Linked DNA regions of Caenorhabditis elegans. The protein of the gene in region 1 purifies or fractionates together with the protein of each later gene. This does not show direct contact. Each region holds a gene or a part of one and is shown on either strand. Other genes may lie near its edges. The genes, in order: rpl-7A and rpl-34.

Evidence for each region.
Region 2: the proteins of rpl-7A (region 1) and rpl-34 purify together in Caenorhabditis elegans (affinity purification with mass spectrometry; 2 studies listed by BioGRID, with this or other methods). This does not show direct contact.

Annotation. Positions count from the first base shown.
Region 1 is NC_003282.8:4,388,357-4,392,424, reverse strand, and holds rpl-7A (Large ribosomal subunit protein eL8), read left to right. Parts: upstream 1-1,834; 5' UTR 1,835-1,860; coding exon 1,861-1,863; intron 1,864-1,964; coding exon 1,965-2,088; intron 2,089-2,116; exon of another isoform or gene 2,117-2,337; intron 2,338-2,384; coding exon 2,385-2,534; exon of another isoform or gene 2,535-2,621; intron 2,622-2,674; coding exon 2,675-3,026; intron 3,027-3,080; coding exon 3,081-3,249; 3' UTR 3,250-3,282; downstream 3,283-4,068. Other genes in the region: set-21 (SET domain-containing protein), read right to left, coding at 1-139, 438-569, 628-874, 930-1,434, 1,497-1,557; tald-1 (Transaldolase), read right to left, coding at 3,660-3,817, 3,870-4,068.
Region 2 is NC_003282.8:12,267,165-12,270,282, reverse strand, and holds rpl-34 (Large ribosomal subunit protein eL34), read right to left. Parts: upstream 1,289-3,118; 5' UTR 1,282-1,288; coding exon 1,123-1,281; intron 996-1,122; coding exon 822-995; 3' UTR 750-821; downstream 1-749. Other genes in the region: C42C1.3 (Ovule protein), read left to right, coding at 1-149, 197-335, 386-550, 597-689; ppm-1.H (PPM-type phosphatase domain-containing protein), read left to right, coding at 1,977-2,118, 2,173-2,337, 2,387-2,559, 2,931-3,118.

The DNA.
Region 1 (4,068 bases):
GGAAGAGCTTCTTGTGCGGCAATAACATTGAATTGTTGGTGCATTTTCCACCGCATCCGCAAAGCTCGGAGCACGCGAACCCGGCGTGATCGTAGTAATGATCCTTCGGGTTGAAGAAGTAGATGGGTTTGAAGGATGTCTGAAATTTCAAAGGGTTAGAAGAGCAGAAAGGGCGATTCTACAAAATGAACCAATTTGGCATGTTCTCCCAACATTTTTCATTAAAGTTAAGTGATAAACCACAGAAAAACGCCTGTTTTATCTGAAAATTACTTTTATTTAGCTTGAAACAACTGAAAAAGTGCTCGAAAGTTGTCTTTCCCGGCAATTTTCCACTTTCAGACACTATATTTTCGCACAAAATTTCAATAAAAAATATCGGAAAATCATGCCATATCGGCTCGTTTTCTAGAATTCCTGAAGCTTCATCCACATACGAATTCAGTTTTTCCACAACCCTCCCGTGGTATTTGAAATCCTTGCATGCGCTGGTTCATAATGAAGCACGGGCATTTTTCGTTCTCGTAGCAAGGGACAATCGGCTTTGAAGAGCAACATGTACACCGTATCTGAATAAAAATACGATTTTTTTGCTGTGAAAAATGAATTTAAAAAAATGCTACAAACCATATTTTCTCCGTTTTCCTCAGACATTATGATCGCTTTCGTTAAATTGGGCTCTGTGAACTGATCGACCATGTTCACGTCAGTGTAGTCGTAGGTAAGGGTTACCGGAATCTCCAGAGACTCTAAAGTCTCGCCTTCAAGATCCGAATACACTGGAATGACGTCATTCTCGTTGAATGTGAGGTTCGATTTTATCCGTATCCTGTTTTTCGGCGGCTCGTAAGCTGGGAAATATTCCTGTAGACTTCTGAAAATCCTCCATATTTTCGATTTTCAGTAAGAAAAAGAACATTTATGCTTACTCGGGGGTGATTTCCGTCGATGTGCCCTGTTCTGCCAGCAAATGCTTCATCAAATTATTGTTAGTCCTGGCCATTACTATCCGCTGGGCTATGAAGCGCATGCACCGCCCGAGATCCTTGTTTTCAGTCTCTTGGTACTCATAATACGTGTTCAGCTCGGGATCATCGCGAATTCTCTCCAGCAGATTCAAATGAGCGTTCAGTGTTATTATGTTCGGCTCCACATTGATCCTTGTCAATTCTGAATTATCCTTGAGTAGCTGGCAACGATCGCGATAACTTGACAACTGATATGAGGAGTATCGCAAATACACTGGAAGTTCCAACTTGAAAGGAGGTGCTTTGAAAGCGAATTTTATCACACGTAACATTTCCGATGTTTTGTCAGCTGAATATTTTTTCAGCGCACGCTTCGTCTCGACATACTTCGCGTCTTCATCATCTGTCGGTAGCCGCATTGCCTTGGATCTTTTCCTTGGAGGTTCCGCATTGGATGATTTGTCGTCTGAATATTTAAAAAAATCAATAATATTGTTATCATGCTATCAGAAAAAAAAATTAACATACCGTTTTCTCCTATGGATCTTTTTTGGGCCTTAGATTTTAATTTCTCGGCATCTACAGGCATTGGAGTAGTTTTAAGTCGCTGAAAATCTACATGTGGAATATATAAAAAATTATTAAGCAAGGTCCAACGACAAAAATGATCCAAAAAGCGTTTTCTGAGTTGAAAACTCGAAAATGTTGTTTCGTTTTCGCGAATTTTAAGACAAAAAACTCAATTTCAAACAGCGCGCGCAAAAGGCGCAGCATGTGCGCCCTGCCGCACACATTTCGCTACTGACTATCAAACGTTGAATACTCAGTCAACGACTGTCCTTGGCCTAAAAATCGTCGCTCATTTTACTTTTGGGCCCGTCGTCCATACAAGATGGTGAGTTTTTTCTTAATTTGCATTAAACTTGTCATTTTTGTCATAGTTTTATGCAAATTTTCCCAATTTTTATGTTAAATTATATAATTTTCCTGTTTCAGCCTAGCAAGAAGGTTATCAAGAAGAAAGTCGCCGCTGTTCCGGCGCACATTCGTGCCCAAACTCAAGTCCAGAAGGAAGTGAAGAACCCACTCTTCGAGAAGAGAGCTCGCAACTTCAACATCGGTACGTTTCGAAACAATTCGTAGTTTCTCTCGACATGTGACTAGCGATCCTCTTCGGGGTTGATTGCTTTTCTTAGTGGAGCATCGGGGGCTTTCTGTAAAGTTGACTCCGATCCACCTTGTCGTATACCAACAGTCTGTGTGGCCCTCTACCGCTATTTGAGATGCCCGGGCTGGATTGCATATTCCTTATCCTTCCGTAGATCCTATGGGTCCGTGACGGTTAGGACAAACCATGCAAATTACAAATATCCTAAAAACGTTCCAAGATTTTATTATAATTAAATCTTTTTACAGGACAAGACATCCAGCCAAAGAAGGACGTCACCCGATTCGTCAAATGGCCAAAGTACATCCGTCTCCAGCGTCAATCCGCCATTCTCCAGAAGCGCCTGAAGGTTCCACCAACCATCAACCAGTTCAGAACCGCTCTTGACAGCCAGTCCGGTTGGTATAGCTAATTTTTTATCAGAGTCATGTACTATAAGCAAGCCTTGAGCTTTGCACTGACGCATTTACTCTGATAGGTGAAGTAAGGCTTTTGACTTTACGCTGTTATGTTTCCAGTGGTAATTTTCTGTTTTCAGCTAGACAAGCCTTCAAGCTCTTGGACAAGTACCGCCCGGAGTCGACCGAGGCCAAGAAGAACCGTCTCCGTGCTCGTGCCGAGGCTCGCGCTGCTGGAAAGAAGGAGGAGGTCACCAAGAGACCAAACACCGTTCGCCACGGAGTCAACACCATCACCAGACTCGTCGAGACCCGCAGAGCTCAATTGGTTCTCATCGCTCACGACGTCAACCCACTCGAGATCGTGCTCCACCTTCCAGCCCTCTGCAGAAAGTACAACGTTCCATACGCCATCATCAAGGGAAAGGCTTCCCTCGGAACCGTCGTCCGCAGAAAGACCACCGCCGCTGTTGCTCTCGTCGATGTCAACCCGTAAGTTTCAGATTCTATAGTTTCTTGAGCAAATAATTATTTCTTTGTATTCAGAGAGGACAAATCTGCCTTGAACAAGCTCGTCGAGACCGTCAACAACAACTTCAGCGAGCGTCACGAGGAGATCCGCAAGCACTGGGGAGGAGGTGTCATGTCCGCCAAGTCTGATGCCAAGAAGCTCAAGATCGAGCGCGCTCGTGCCCGTGATCTTGGAAAGCTCTAAATTGTTTTTGTTGATAATAAAAACTTGTTATTCAAAGCTTGTATCTTTTTCAATAATTGGTAGTCTTCGTGGTACTCATTTGGATCGGTCTTGTTGGATATTGTTGAGAACAGTTTTCCCGAGAAGTGTCTCCCTAGTTCGTCGTTGTCTTGGAGCTTGCTGGTTGTCTGCGATATGGTTTCACTGAACAATTCTAGTTGGGTTCAATTCCGGGTGTCACAGCCACAACTGTCCAGAAACTTGCAGAGTGCGATAAGAGTTCGGCTATTTTGTGTATCTTGCCTTTACAGTGCTCTTTAAATTACATAAGGGTTCATTAAAATACGTAACGAAATATTTAAGGGGAAATCACAACACTGATGAAATTGGGGAAAACTAGTAAGCACGACAAATACATCAATCAATACAATTTAGATCTTTGCCTCGATAAGCTTCTCCAGAGTTCTGGCGTCTTTGGCAAAGTTGCGGATTCCTTCGGCGAGCTTCTCGGTGGCCATGGCGTCCTCGTTGAGAGCCCATCTGAACGCCTTCTCGTCAATGCTCACTTTCGGCAGGTCGAGTGTCTTGGCTGGAAAATAATTAAAAATTGCAATTTTTAATTGATTAAATCTCCCGCTCACCATGAGAAGTGGAGAGCACAACTGGAGCAAGTTCCGTCTCCGCAGCAAGTTGCTTCAGAAGAGCCGGAGAAATAGTAAGAAGATCACATCCAACAAGTCCCTTGATCTCTTCAGTATTACGGAACGAGGCAGCCATCACTTGTGTCTTATAGTCGTATTTCTTGTAATAATTAAAGATTCGAGTAACACTGACAACTCC
Region 2 (3,118 bases), 7.9 Mb from region 1:
CCACATGTGGCACCATTTCTCGCAGTAGAACATTTTGCTTCGTTTCCTGTCCATCCACCAACGTTCATTTTCTCGAATGCTGCCGTTTCAAATATATTATCTATGGAAGAAATTAAAAGTGTACTCATAAGATTAGATGAACTAATTTCGTATGTAGTTTTTGAGTTTATTGTGTTTTTAATTACTATGATTTCAGAAGTAACAACCTGCACAATCATCCCTGTCTAATTTCTCAAGCAGGTGCACAAGCAACAATGCGTCTTGCTTCGAAAGATCAACTGCGTTCAGATTGGAATACTTCTGTAGAAATACCTTTTTGTCTATACGTAACGCAGGTTCGTATAATATGCATCTCTTAAACTAATTTTTCAAAATTTAATTCCAGAATGGTGTATGTCCCCGGCAGTTCGACTACGAAGATTTGCATAAACAATCACAATGGGTAGCGTTATTCGAAGAAGTAATTCTGCCACTTGACAAGATGCAAGGAAGTAAACTGTCAAAAATTGCACCACATCAGCATAGTTCTGTCGTTAAAAATGCTATAATGGTAATATTCGAACTCTGGTGTACCTACATTTTGTTTTTTTTTTCAGAAGTCGAAAAGAGAGAAAAAGACGAGTTGCAAGAAGCACTCAAAATCAATTTCTGGCATAGATTCGTCTAGTAGTGGATGCAATTCGTTGTAACACTATATTTTTAATATTATATAACTAAATCTAACTTAACTTACATTTCCCTGTGATATATATATTTATGTTTTGCTCGATTAAACTAGTTTCTTTCATAACAATTTATTGAAAACAACAAAACGAACGAGCTTAGTCCTTCTGGTGCTTGATGACCTTGTTGACGATCTTCTGCTCCTCGACGAGGAAAGCACGGGTAATGCGCTCCTTAACGGCGTTTGGTGAGAGGCATCCTCCGTAGGCTCTGGTGACGGTACGCTCGTTTCTCTTGAGAAGGCGGAGAGCGATTGGGCGAGCTGGGGTGATCTGAAAGCGACAATAATTAATTTGAAAATTCTTGTTGATGTTCAAAACTCAGATTTCAATTTACAATTAAGGTGCCTATATTGTGATAAACTACTTGAAATAAAAATAATTAGAAGTAAAAACGTACTCCGTGGAGCTTGACTCCGGTGTCTCTGCACTTTGGAATTTGTCCTCTCTTCTTGATGTATTGGACAACGAGACGTCCTCCTGGGGTCTTGACAAGACGCTTCTTGTTGGAGGTGGTGTTGTACGACAAACGGCGTCTGTAGGTAACGCGGAGGGACATTTTTTACCTGAAAAATATGCAAGTATTATTTCGAAACAAAAAAATACAGATACGAAAATTAGAGAAAGAATATTTGAAATTATCATTATATGCATGCTAAAACGCCGAATTTCAACTGGAATTAATTTAGCAGGGCTGAAATAATACTAAACACGTAAAATGTTCTTGTAATTCGTTTGAAACACCACTTAAAATAGGAAAACGATTAAAATCTAATTTTTCGACAATTATCACTTTTTGGGCATTTAATAGGCGTTTTTTCATCGATTATGGATTTTACATGAATACGAACATTATATTGAATTTTTAATACGTATTTTGTATGATAAAATCGGTCAAAACCTTAAAAAATCAACAAAAAAGAGTAGGAAAAGGAAAAATTTCTCAATTTAGTGAGACGGCTGTTCCTCGGCGCGAAGACTACGGTAACACTCGTTTACCATGTGTCGTTGCATTCATTTCGCTCGTAAATCGACACAAGAGGAGAGACGGAGTGTCTCTGGCTTAACCAGCAGAATAACGCCGAATCAATAAGAGCTAACGAAGGAAAGAGGGCTTAAAACAGAACATCATTTTCTTCGGAAATGTCTCATCGAGATTTCTATTTTAGTTTTAGTAGATTTTCAATATTTCCTGAATTTCAAAGCGTTTGGAAATTTTAAAAGTATAAATATTTTCATTTAAGAAAGTTAAAGATGGATATTGCTGCACGGGTGATATCCGTTGTCGGTCGAACATCAACTTCTGATCCGTCAACGGCTTCTTCTAGTAATCCACCAAAAGTGGGAAGAGTGATGGATGTCAGTGATGGTGTTTTTATTGGTGGATTCATTCCATGTAAGAATTCTCGTAGTTTTGCAATCTTTTCAATATGAAAGCCTCGAATTCCAGCACTAATCGAAAAACAAAGATATCCATACAGTCGCCCCGAATTTTTGTATTTTTCTGAAGAAGAAATCGCATTATCATCTGATCATTCTGTCCGTCCTGTTCTTTGTCCCAGATTTCCACACCGAATGCCCCTTTATGTTGGTTATGCAGAAGCAATAAATGCGGGTATTATTGAGAAAATCTTCAATTTTGTTGGAAAAAAAATAAAATTTAGGAAAAACTGTCCAAAATGAGGATCAAGCCTCTGCAAAAATGTTAGTTCTGACACAACACCAGGGAAACGAAATGAACGGGTTTTCGTCCGACGAAAAGAAATCTGAAACGAGAAAAAGAAATTCCAATGAAAATGATGATGATCCAATGTTAACGCCTGGAGGAGATGATACCGTGAGCTATCTGAATGTCGTAAATGTGAATTGTAAATAGTTTTTTTTAAATGTTTCCAACTTTAAAAATATTGTAATTTCTCACTATTCTGGAACACGTACTTAAAGGCGCACAGACTTATGCGGATTGATTTCACCACGAAAACAATCAAGCATTTTTTGCAGCTTTTAAAGTTTACAGTAACGAAAAGAAGTTTGCTATAACGAAATCCCGAACAAAAAAATGGCAGTGAAAATTCCAAAAAGTGATGTTTAACACAATTCCCGCGGCAACCTATTCAAATCAATCCGTACGATAAAGTAGAAATTGAATTCCAATTATTAGTTGGCCCCCTCTCTCTTGTTTCATCAGAATATATTTCTCGGTTCCAGGAAAAATCCAGCATGTTTGCTCCACGAGCCGACGGAGCTCTATTCAGTTTATTCGATGGTCATGCTGGCTCGGCAGTTGCTGTTGTCGCCAGTAAGTGCCTTCATGAGCACGTAAAGTCTCGGTTATGTGAAGTACTCGACACTATTCTTCACATGGATCGACATGAGAATTTAAACTTTGGGAAGCA